Linked DNA regions of Macaca mulatta. The protein of the gene in region 1 interacts with the protein of each later gene in a biochemical or structural test. Links are inferred from orthologs where the notes say so. Each region holds a gene or a part of one and is shown on either strand. Other genes may lie near its edges.

Region 1 (3,650 bases):
AATGGATTGCCACAGCTCGAAACCAGGCTGTGTGTTTATCTTTTTTTTTTTAAGTCACTGAGACTTAGTTGTAATTAAGCATAATCGTTCTCACATCTGCAGTTTTGGTACATTAGAAATTAGATTAATGAAGCCAATAATTGAATTCCTACAAGTAACAAGTGTCAGTTTGCCATAGGTCTCATCACTATTCTTTTTTGTGAAAGAGAATAAATAAAATATTACAATGGGTCTGTCTTTGCCACCTTATAAATTTGCTGCTTTTAATTTTGTTGCATTGTCCTAAACACAGAATTATCTACTGTTTGATAATTGGCTACTCTCAGTAGTTATTACTTTTGTTAAAATTATTTCTTTCAGTACTTTAGAGGCAGTTTTAAGACTTCAAACAGGCTTTTTCCTTCTATGAGCAAAAATCTGATTGCATAAGAATGAGCACTGGCAGCTCAAATCTACTTTCTGGGTGAGAGTACATTAGTAACATATTTTCATGAACACCATTCTCTTCTCCCTCCCCTGAAAGAGCTTTATCTAGTGAGTTAAAGAGTTTTTAATCATATGGCCTTGTGTTTAACTTTAAAAAACACCGAAACTACTGAATTTCAAAGCGGGACTCTGGGCAGTTGTCTCAAATTATTGTTTTATTAAGTTTGTTTTTTAAAAAGGTAAAATACAATGTATTTATATAACAACTTTCAATAAGAATCCATGTATTTCTGTTTGTTTTTAATTAGTTACTAAGAACCTTCAAAATACTCTCATTTAAAGGCCCACCCTTACCTTTTGAATTATGGCCTTTCACAAATATTTTTTAGGTGAATCACATGTAACGAATGGTTATAATTATGTTATTCATAACTCCCTTACTTTGGTAATGTAAATATTTACTCTACAGTACACTGGACCATATCTATCATTGTAATTTATCTTCGTTTTCTATATTTCTTACAATTTTTGAGAAACTAGAATTAAACATATATAGTAAGAATTATTATACAGTAAAATCCTATAGCATATATGTGGAAACTTAAGGAAGTAATGAGTCTTGGTGTTATTACCAGAATGCTGATATAACATGATATATTTAATGAAATATGAAAGAATAAAATAGAATTTTAGGTATATTTTGCTAGCATTTTTCTTTTTTTACCTTTTTTTTTGTTTGTAATGTTATATTTTCTAATGGCCATAAAGAAACATGATCAAATCTAAATTTCTCTAGTAAAGTTGATTCCCAATTTGATAGTAGCATGAATATATAATTTTGTTTTGGACTTTTTGGGTTTCTCTACATTATTTTATAAATAATTACTACACGAAGATTTGGCAGATAAATTGTGTAGCAGGGTCCTTAGCATTTTCTTTTCATGACAGCCTCTTCCGTTCATCTCCATTCTTGGTCATTAAGTGAACATCAGAACTTAAGTTTTACTAGCTTCAAGCCTTTTTCAAAAAAATACTGCTTACAGCTGCAGACAATGATCTTTTCCCGCGGCAGTCTTGTATGTACACTGATCTTTAACAACTTGTACTCATAACCAGATTTGTTTGGACAAGTCACACCACTGTGTGTGTCCTGTTTTTGTTTTGTTTTAAATTTTATGATGTCGGCCTAATTGTTGGAAAATCCTCCTTCGTACCTGCAAAGAGAAACCTGTTCTCAAGGTAAATGATTTGAACTTATGACAAAATGGTTGCATTTTTTTCAAACTGGTAATATTTAATGAAATTATTTTAAACATGATGGCATTTTTTTCAAACTGATAATATTTGGGGGAAATAACTGTCGTTACAAATAAATACAGTAATCAAATGCTGATGCAAATCTTTTGTAATTTCAGCCTGATAGCGCATATCAAGGTGGAGTCTTCTTTCTCACTGTACATTTCCCGACAGATTATCCTTTTAAACCACCAAAGGTATTTTTATTTTTATGATTGATGTGACTCCCATGTAAGGGATTTTACTCTTTTATCTAGAGCTCATTTTGTATGTCAAAGACTGTGGGGGAGATTAGCATTTTCTGTTTTATAAAAACTACTGAATCTAAAATCTGATTTCTTATTGAAATACTTTATTAAGTCTATAAAACAAAAGTCAGTATCTGTCATGCTATAAATTTAATTCCTTGCTTTTCTTTCTCTTCTTATTGGATACGTGTAGTTTGGGAAATTTTTATGATTAAGAGTCAGACTTTTCATGGGATTATCTTTCCAAAGTTGATCCTTCTTTCTCGTTTTTTTTTTTTTTTTTTTTTTTTAAGTATTCAATAAACATTCACTGAGTACCTACCATGTTCTTCTACACCAAGGAATCCAAAAGTAAATATGAAACAGTCCCTTAATTTAGTATGGTAGGAGAGAGAAACACATGTTAAATTTAGATTTGCTCTAAAGAGGAAGCAAATGATAGGGATTTCAGGGAGGGGAAAAATGAGCAGATTCTGTCACTCAGGAAATAATTATTTTAAATAGTTAAAAGCAGATTAACATTGTATTTATGAAATGATATGACAACGCTTGTGGAAAATTAGGGTTCTTGATGGATTTCTTAGCTGAGACCCCTCAACTTTGCCCTGAAACAGCGCCAGCACCCTGTTTTTACATCCAAGTGTTACTTCTAGGTATCACCAATAATCAAATCAAGAAAAGGATTACTTCTGTGTATGATGAAAGCCATGGTTAATTACTTTAGATGCTACTCAACCAGTCATACCAGCTACTAGAGACTTATTTATTACACTGTCCAAAATACTTTTCAGTTCCTTGGAGGGAGAAAGAAGGAAGCTGACTTATTTGTGTTCACATTCTCACTAGCTAGAACTATGTGTAGCACAAAGTAGATAATTATTTGATTTGTGCCGAAGACTTTTCTCCTCTAGCGTTATGTAAACTTGAACATATTTTACCCTAGAGCAAATTGGTTCTGTTTTATTCATAGTTGATTCAAAGGTGATTGTCATATTTTGTTGTTTTGTTTTATGTTTAGATCGCTTTCACAACAAAAATTTACCATCCAAACATAAACAGTAATGGAAGTATTTGTCTCGATATTCTGAGGTCACAATGGTCACCAGCTCTGACTGTATCAAAAGGTAATTTCATCGATCAGATTTAAAACAATTGATAACAGTAAGACAGGAAAAATACAACAGAATTACCTATGGACTAAAGTTTTAAAACAACAATCAACTGTGCTTTCTCCTGTTTTGATTTTGTTTTGCTCTCTCCGCTCTTATGTTACTCTGGCTTTTGGCAGTTAGCTTTGGTTGAGGGGAGTGTAGACATTTTATCCTTTTAGCTTGGGTGTTATCTTTTAAAAAAGAGACAGTGCCCAGGCACTGTGGCTCATGCCTGTTACTCTAACACTTTGGAAGGCTGAAGTAGGAGGATTGCTTGAGCCCAAGAGTTCAGGACTGACCTGGGCAACATAGGAGACCCTGTCTCTGCAAAAAAAGAGAGAGAATAAGAGATAGTAAAAGGAAGATTTTGGGACTAGTTGTCCCATTCATTAAATGGAAATGTTGACAGTAATAAAGCTTTACAGCTGTTTTACTTCATCCAAGAAAAAAATAACAGATTTGATTGATAAATGATTTAAAATGGAAGACATTTCACACTAGGATAATGCAATACATATAGCATGTTAGT
Region 2 (4,165 bases), on another chromosome or scaffold:
TGGGAAACTGCTAATTGATGGAAAGAAAAGATGAAAATCTGATTCAAAGGTCTAATCATCTATGGAGGGATAAGAAAGTTGTAGCTTTAAATATTCGTTCAACATTTTATTCCTGTATGTGATTCGCTCTTCTATGTATAGAGGACATATCAGTGAACAAAAACAGTCCCATGTCTATGAATGGATTACTTTTCAGGAGGAAGAAGTAGACATTTAAAGAACAATCTTATATATTACATAGTAAAAATAAGAAAATAAATGTGCAGTGAGTGATATTACTGGTGGTTTTGCTATAAGTAAGTTATAGTATGTCCTTCTAAGAAGAGGACATCTAAGAGATTGAATTAAATTTAAGAATGACTCTTGCTAACATCAGGGGAAGGATCATTTTATGGAGAGAGAGGAGCAAGTGCAAAAGCCTTGAGGAGTCATAGATTTGATAGTTTAATTGAGGAGGTGTTTTTTACATGTGGAAAAAGCAGAGGAGATAAACCTTAACAGTATAAATAAAATAATTCAGATACCAAAGACCATATATTATGATTCTATTTTTATCAATTGATTAAAAACCCAAAGGATATTAGTGATTGTCTGGAGCTTGGGATCAGAATAGGAGTAACGGCATTAGGGTTTTTTTTTTTTTTTTTCAGGTGGTAAAAATAATTTTAAATTGTGTTACAGTAACAGTCATATAGTTCCACAAATTTAGTAGAAATTATCACATTATACACTTAAAAATGAGAGTGTATGATGCTATGTAAATACAACTCAGTAGCTTAAAAATACACAAGTATTAGTGAATCATGCAAATATTAGAGATACAATCACGTCATCCAGAGAGAAAAGCATGTGCGAAAGCCCAGGGGCAGCGGTGTGCTTAGTGCATTTAACATGGAAAATGTGTTTTGGGTTGGGGAACAAAAGGCAGGATAAATGATGGGTTACACGAACCTCTTGGTAGAAAAGCTTCAGTTTGTCCTCTCCAGTAGAAGAGAAAATAACAATAATTGCCTTGATGGGGTGAAATTTGTCCTGAGACAAAAATTAAGAATAAACTGTTTCAAATTACTACAAAGTCCATTTTATTCTGTCATTGGTTTATTCTTCTTGCCTTTCTTTTCTCCTTTCTCTGTTAAATATTAATTTTTGGTCCTGTTCTAAATCTCTGTAAAAGCAGTATTCTTTCTATTCCCGCTTTTCTTACCATGTCCCCTTCAACATTTCCAGCACTGCAGGATTTTCTGACCAAGAGGTTCAAGAGTCAAGACAGAAAGAAGCCAAGGGAGCAGTGCAATGGATTTCTCAGTAAAGGTAGACATAGAGAAGGAGGTGACCTGCCCCATCTGCCTGGAGCTCCTAACAGAACCTCTGAGCCTGGATTGTGGCCACAGCTTCTGCCAAGCCTGCATCACTGCAAAGATCAAGGAGTCAGTGACCATCTCAAGAGGAGAAAGCAGCTGTCCTGTGTGTCAGAGCAGATTCCAGCCTGGGAAGCTCCGACCTAATCGGCATCTGGCCAACATAGTTGAGAGAGTCAAGGAGGTCAAGATGAGCCCACAGGAGGGGCAGAAGAGAGACATCTGTGAGCACCATGGAAAAAAACTCCAGATCTTCTGTAAGGAAGATGGAAAAGTCATTTGCTGGGTTTGTGAACTGTCTCAGGAACACCAAGGTCACCAAACATTCCGCATAAACGAGGTGGTCAAGGAATGTCAGGTAGGCTCCAAGGTAGAGGAAGAGAAAGCAGAGAGCAGAAATGGTACCTGATGTGAAATCTCCACGTTTTTTGTCCTGCTTTATTCCCCTTTTCACCATAGAACTGAGAGCCCTGTGATCTCTTTCCAAACTCTTTACTTAGTTTCTGAAGCCTGAAGGACAGTGCTGCACATTGCTTTTATTTAAAAGAGTACATTTTTTAGCAAGGAAAAGTTGAATGAATGGAGAATTGCTTTGTAAGATAAGCTTTAATTGCCACTCCGAGAAGAAAGGTGTTTTTGAGAACATGTCTTGTTAGATGTGGCAAAAGTGGCAATGAAAGGAAGTCTTTCCTTAATGCAGGGTCTGCTTTTTCTCTAGGAAAAGAATCAGGCTACTCTTGATAAGGGGATGGTAACTTCCATCATCCAGTAATAAAGAATACGTTCATCTCCTCAGATTTTCCCCCATGCCATAGGTTCTAATCACCAGCCTCACTGTTTCTGTAAACTAGTCCCTTCTGAGAGCCATCCAATTTCTTCCTTGCTATCCTCTATCCAGGTGCTGAGAAAACTCATAACTTTACTCTGGTATAATTTCTTTCTCACAGGAAAAGCTGCAGGCAGCCCTGCAGAAGCTGACAAAGGAGGATCAAGAAGCTGAGAAGCTGGAAGATGACGTCAGACAAGAGAGAACCGTCTGGAAGGCAGGAGGAGACACCTCCTAAGGGATAATTAGACAGGAATCTGGGCAGGACCTTGGGCTCTATCACAAGGAGACCACTTCCCCTTTGCTGTGCTAGAATTAACAGTTATAGAAGTCATATGATTAGGTCTCATTTAATTCCTTCCCTGTTGGAGTTTGGGGGCTGGAGAGCAGACATATCATAAATCAACACAATATTTGGAAGTGAAGGCATGGAGGGAAATACCTGTGAAAATGCTTCCTGTGAATCCTGTGTTCCATTTGTGTCATCAAGTTTGAGGCTCCAATCCTTCCAGTAAACAACCTGAGGAAAGACCCAGGATTCCCTGTTTAGGTGGTTTGGGTAGGGGAATTTTTTTTTTTTTTTTTTTAGACAAGAGTCTCGATTTGTCATCTAGGCTGGAGTGCAGTGGAGTGATCTCGGCTCACTGCAACCTCTGCCTTCCCAGGTCAAGCGATTCTCCTGCCTCAGCCTCCCAAGTAGCTGGGACTACAGGCACGTGCCACCATACCCGGCTAATTTTTTGTATTTTCAGTAGAGATGGGGTTTCACCATGCTAGCCAGGATGGTCTTGATCTCCTGACCTCATGATCCGCCCACCTCTGCATCCCAAAGTGCTGGGATTACAGGCGTGAACCACTGTGCCCGACCAGGTAAAGGGATTTAAGAGAGAGAAAGGCAAGGTTGTTCAGGACAGGTGTCTATAATCCAAGCCTCACCCAAGCATCACATTTTGTCTCAGATTAGGCCTCAATAAAAGACTTGAGTGTATTGCTTTGGAAGGAGTTCCGGTTAAAAAATAGAAAAGCATGGCTTCACCAGAAATTGTGTATTGGCTTTTGCCTCGTATTCCTTTTGAGAACTCCCTGAGGAAAACAGTTCTTATCCTGGCTCCCAGGCTCATACAAAGCAGGCCTTCAACCAGCCAGACTGACTGCCTCTTTCTCTTCTCTTCTCATTCAAGAATTATATCCAGCTCGAGAGACAGAAGATTCTGAAAGGGTTCAATGAAATGAGAGTCATCTTGGACAGTGAGGAGCAGAGAGAGCTGCAAAAGCTGGAGGAAGGTGAGGTGAATGTGCTGGATAACCTGGCAGCAGCTAGAGACCAGCTGGTCCAGCAGAGGCAGGATGCCAGCAAGCTCATCTCAGATCTCCAGCGGAGGTTGAGGGGGTCATCAATAGAGATGCTGCAGGTAAGACTTGGGATGGAGCACCTACATATGAGATTAGGGGAAAAACACAGAGGCTGATTTTCCTTCCCTTCCCAGTCTCTAGGCTTTCTTCTGTGTGGTGACATTAAATGGTTCCTTTGGCCTGGCAGTGCCCCTTTTATGCCCATCATTTCAGGAGTCACAGAGATAATTAAGTGTATGAGTGGCAAAGGAAATTCCCTTTATTATTTACTTATGAGAGGCAGTGTAAAAATTTGAGCTTGGAGAGAAGATTCTTTGTACCATGAGCAAATTCGTTTTAGAACTTCCCCATCACATCAAAAACATTTCTCATGCCTGTTTACAGTCAATATCTGCTTCTACCTCCACCTCCTGGCAACCAATCTGTTTTCTGTCTGTATAGAATTGGCTTCTCTGGACATTTCAATATGAACTGAATTATACAACATGTAGTCTTTTGCATCTGGCATCTTTAATTTAGCATAATATTTTGAGGTTTATTTATATTGCAGTATGTATCAGCATTTTGCTCTTTCTTATTGCTAATACTATTCCATTATCTGAATAAATCATGTTATGTTTGTGTATTC

Evidence for each region. The genes of interacting proteins can lie anywhere in the genome.
Region 2: the proteins of UBE2D1 (region 1) and TRIM22 form a complex in vitro, tested with the Homo sapiens proteins (2 studies listed by BioGRID). The link is inferred for Macaca mulatta from reciprocal best matches to the Homo sapiens genes UBE2D1 and TRIM22.

Annotation. Positions count from the first base shown.
Region 1 is NC_133414.1:91,499,519-91,503,168, reverse strand, and holds part of UBE2D1 (ubiquitin-conjugating enzyme E2 D1), read left to right. Parts: intron 1-1,841; coding exon 1,842-1,919; intron 1,920-2,988; coding exon 2,989-3,094; intron 3,095-3,650.
Region 2 is NC_133419.1:69,875,113-69,879,277, reverse strand, and holds the start of TRIM22 (E3 ubiquitin-protein ligase TRIM22), read left to right. Parts: upstream 1-1,293; coding exon 1,294-1,716; intron 1,717-2,305; coding exon 2,306-2,401; intron 2,402-3,365; coding exon 3,366-3,596; intron 3,597-4,165. UniProt on the Homo sapiens protein: Interferon-induced E3 ubiquitin ligase that plays important roles in innate and adaptive immunity.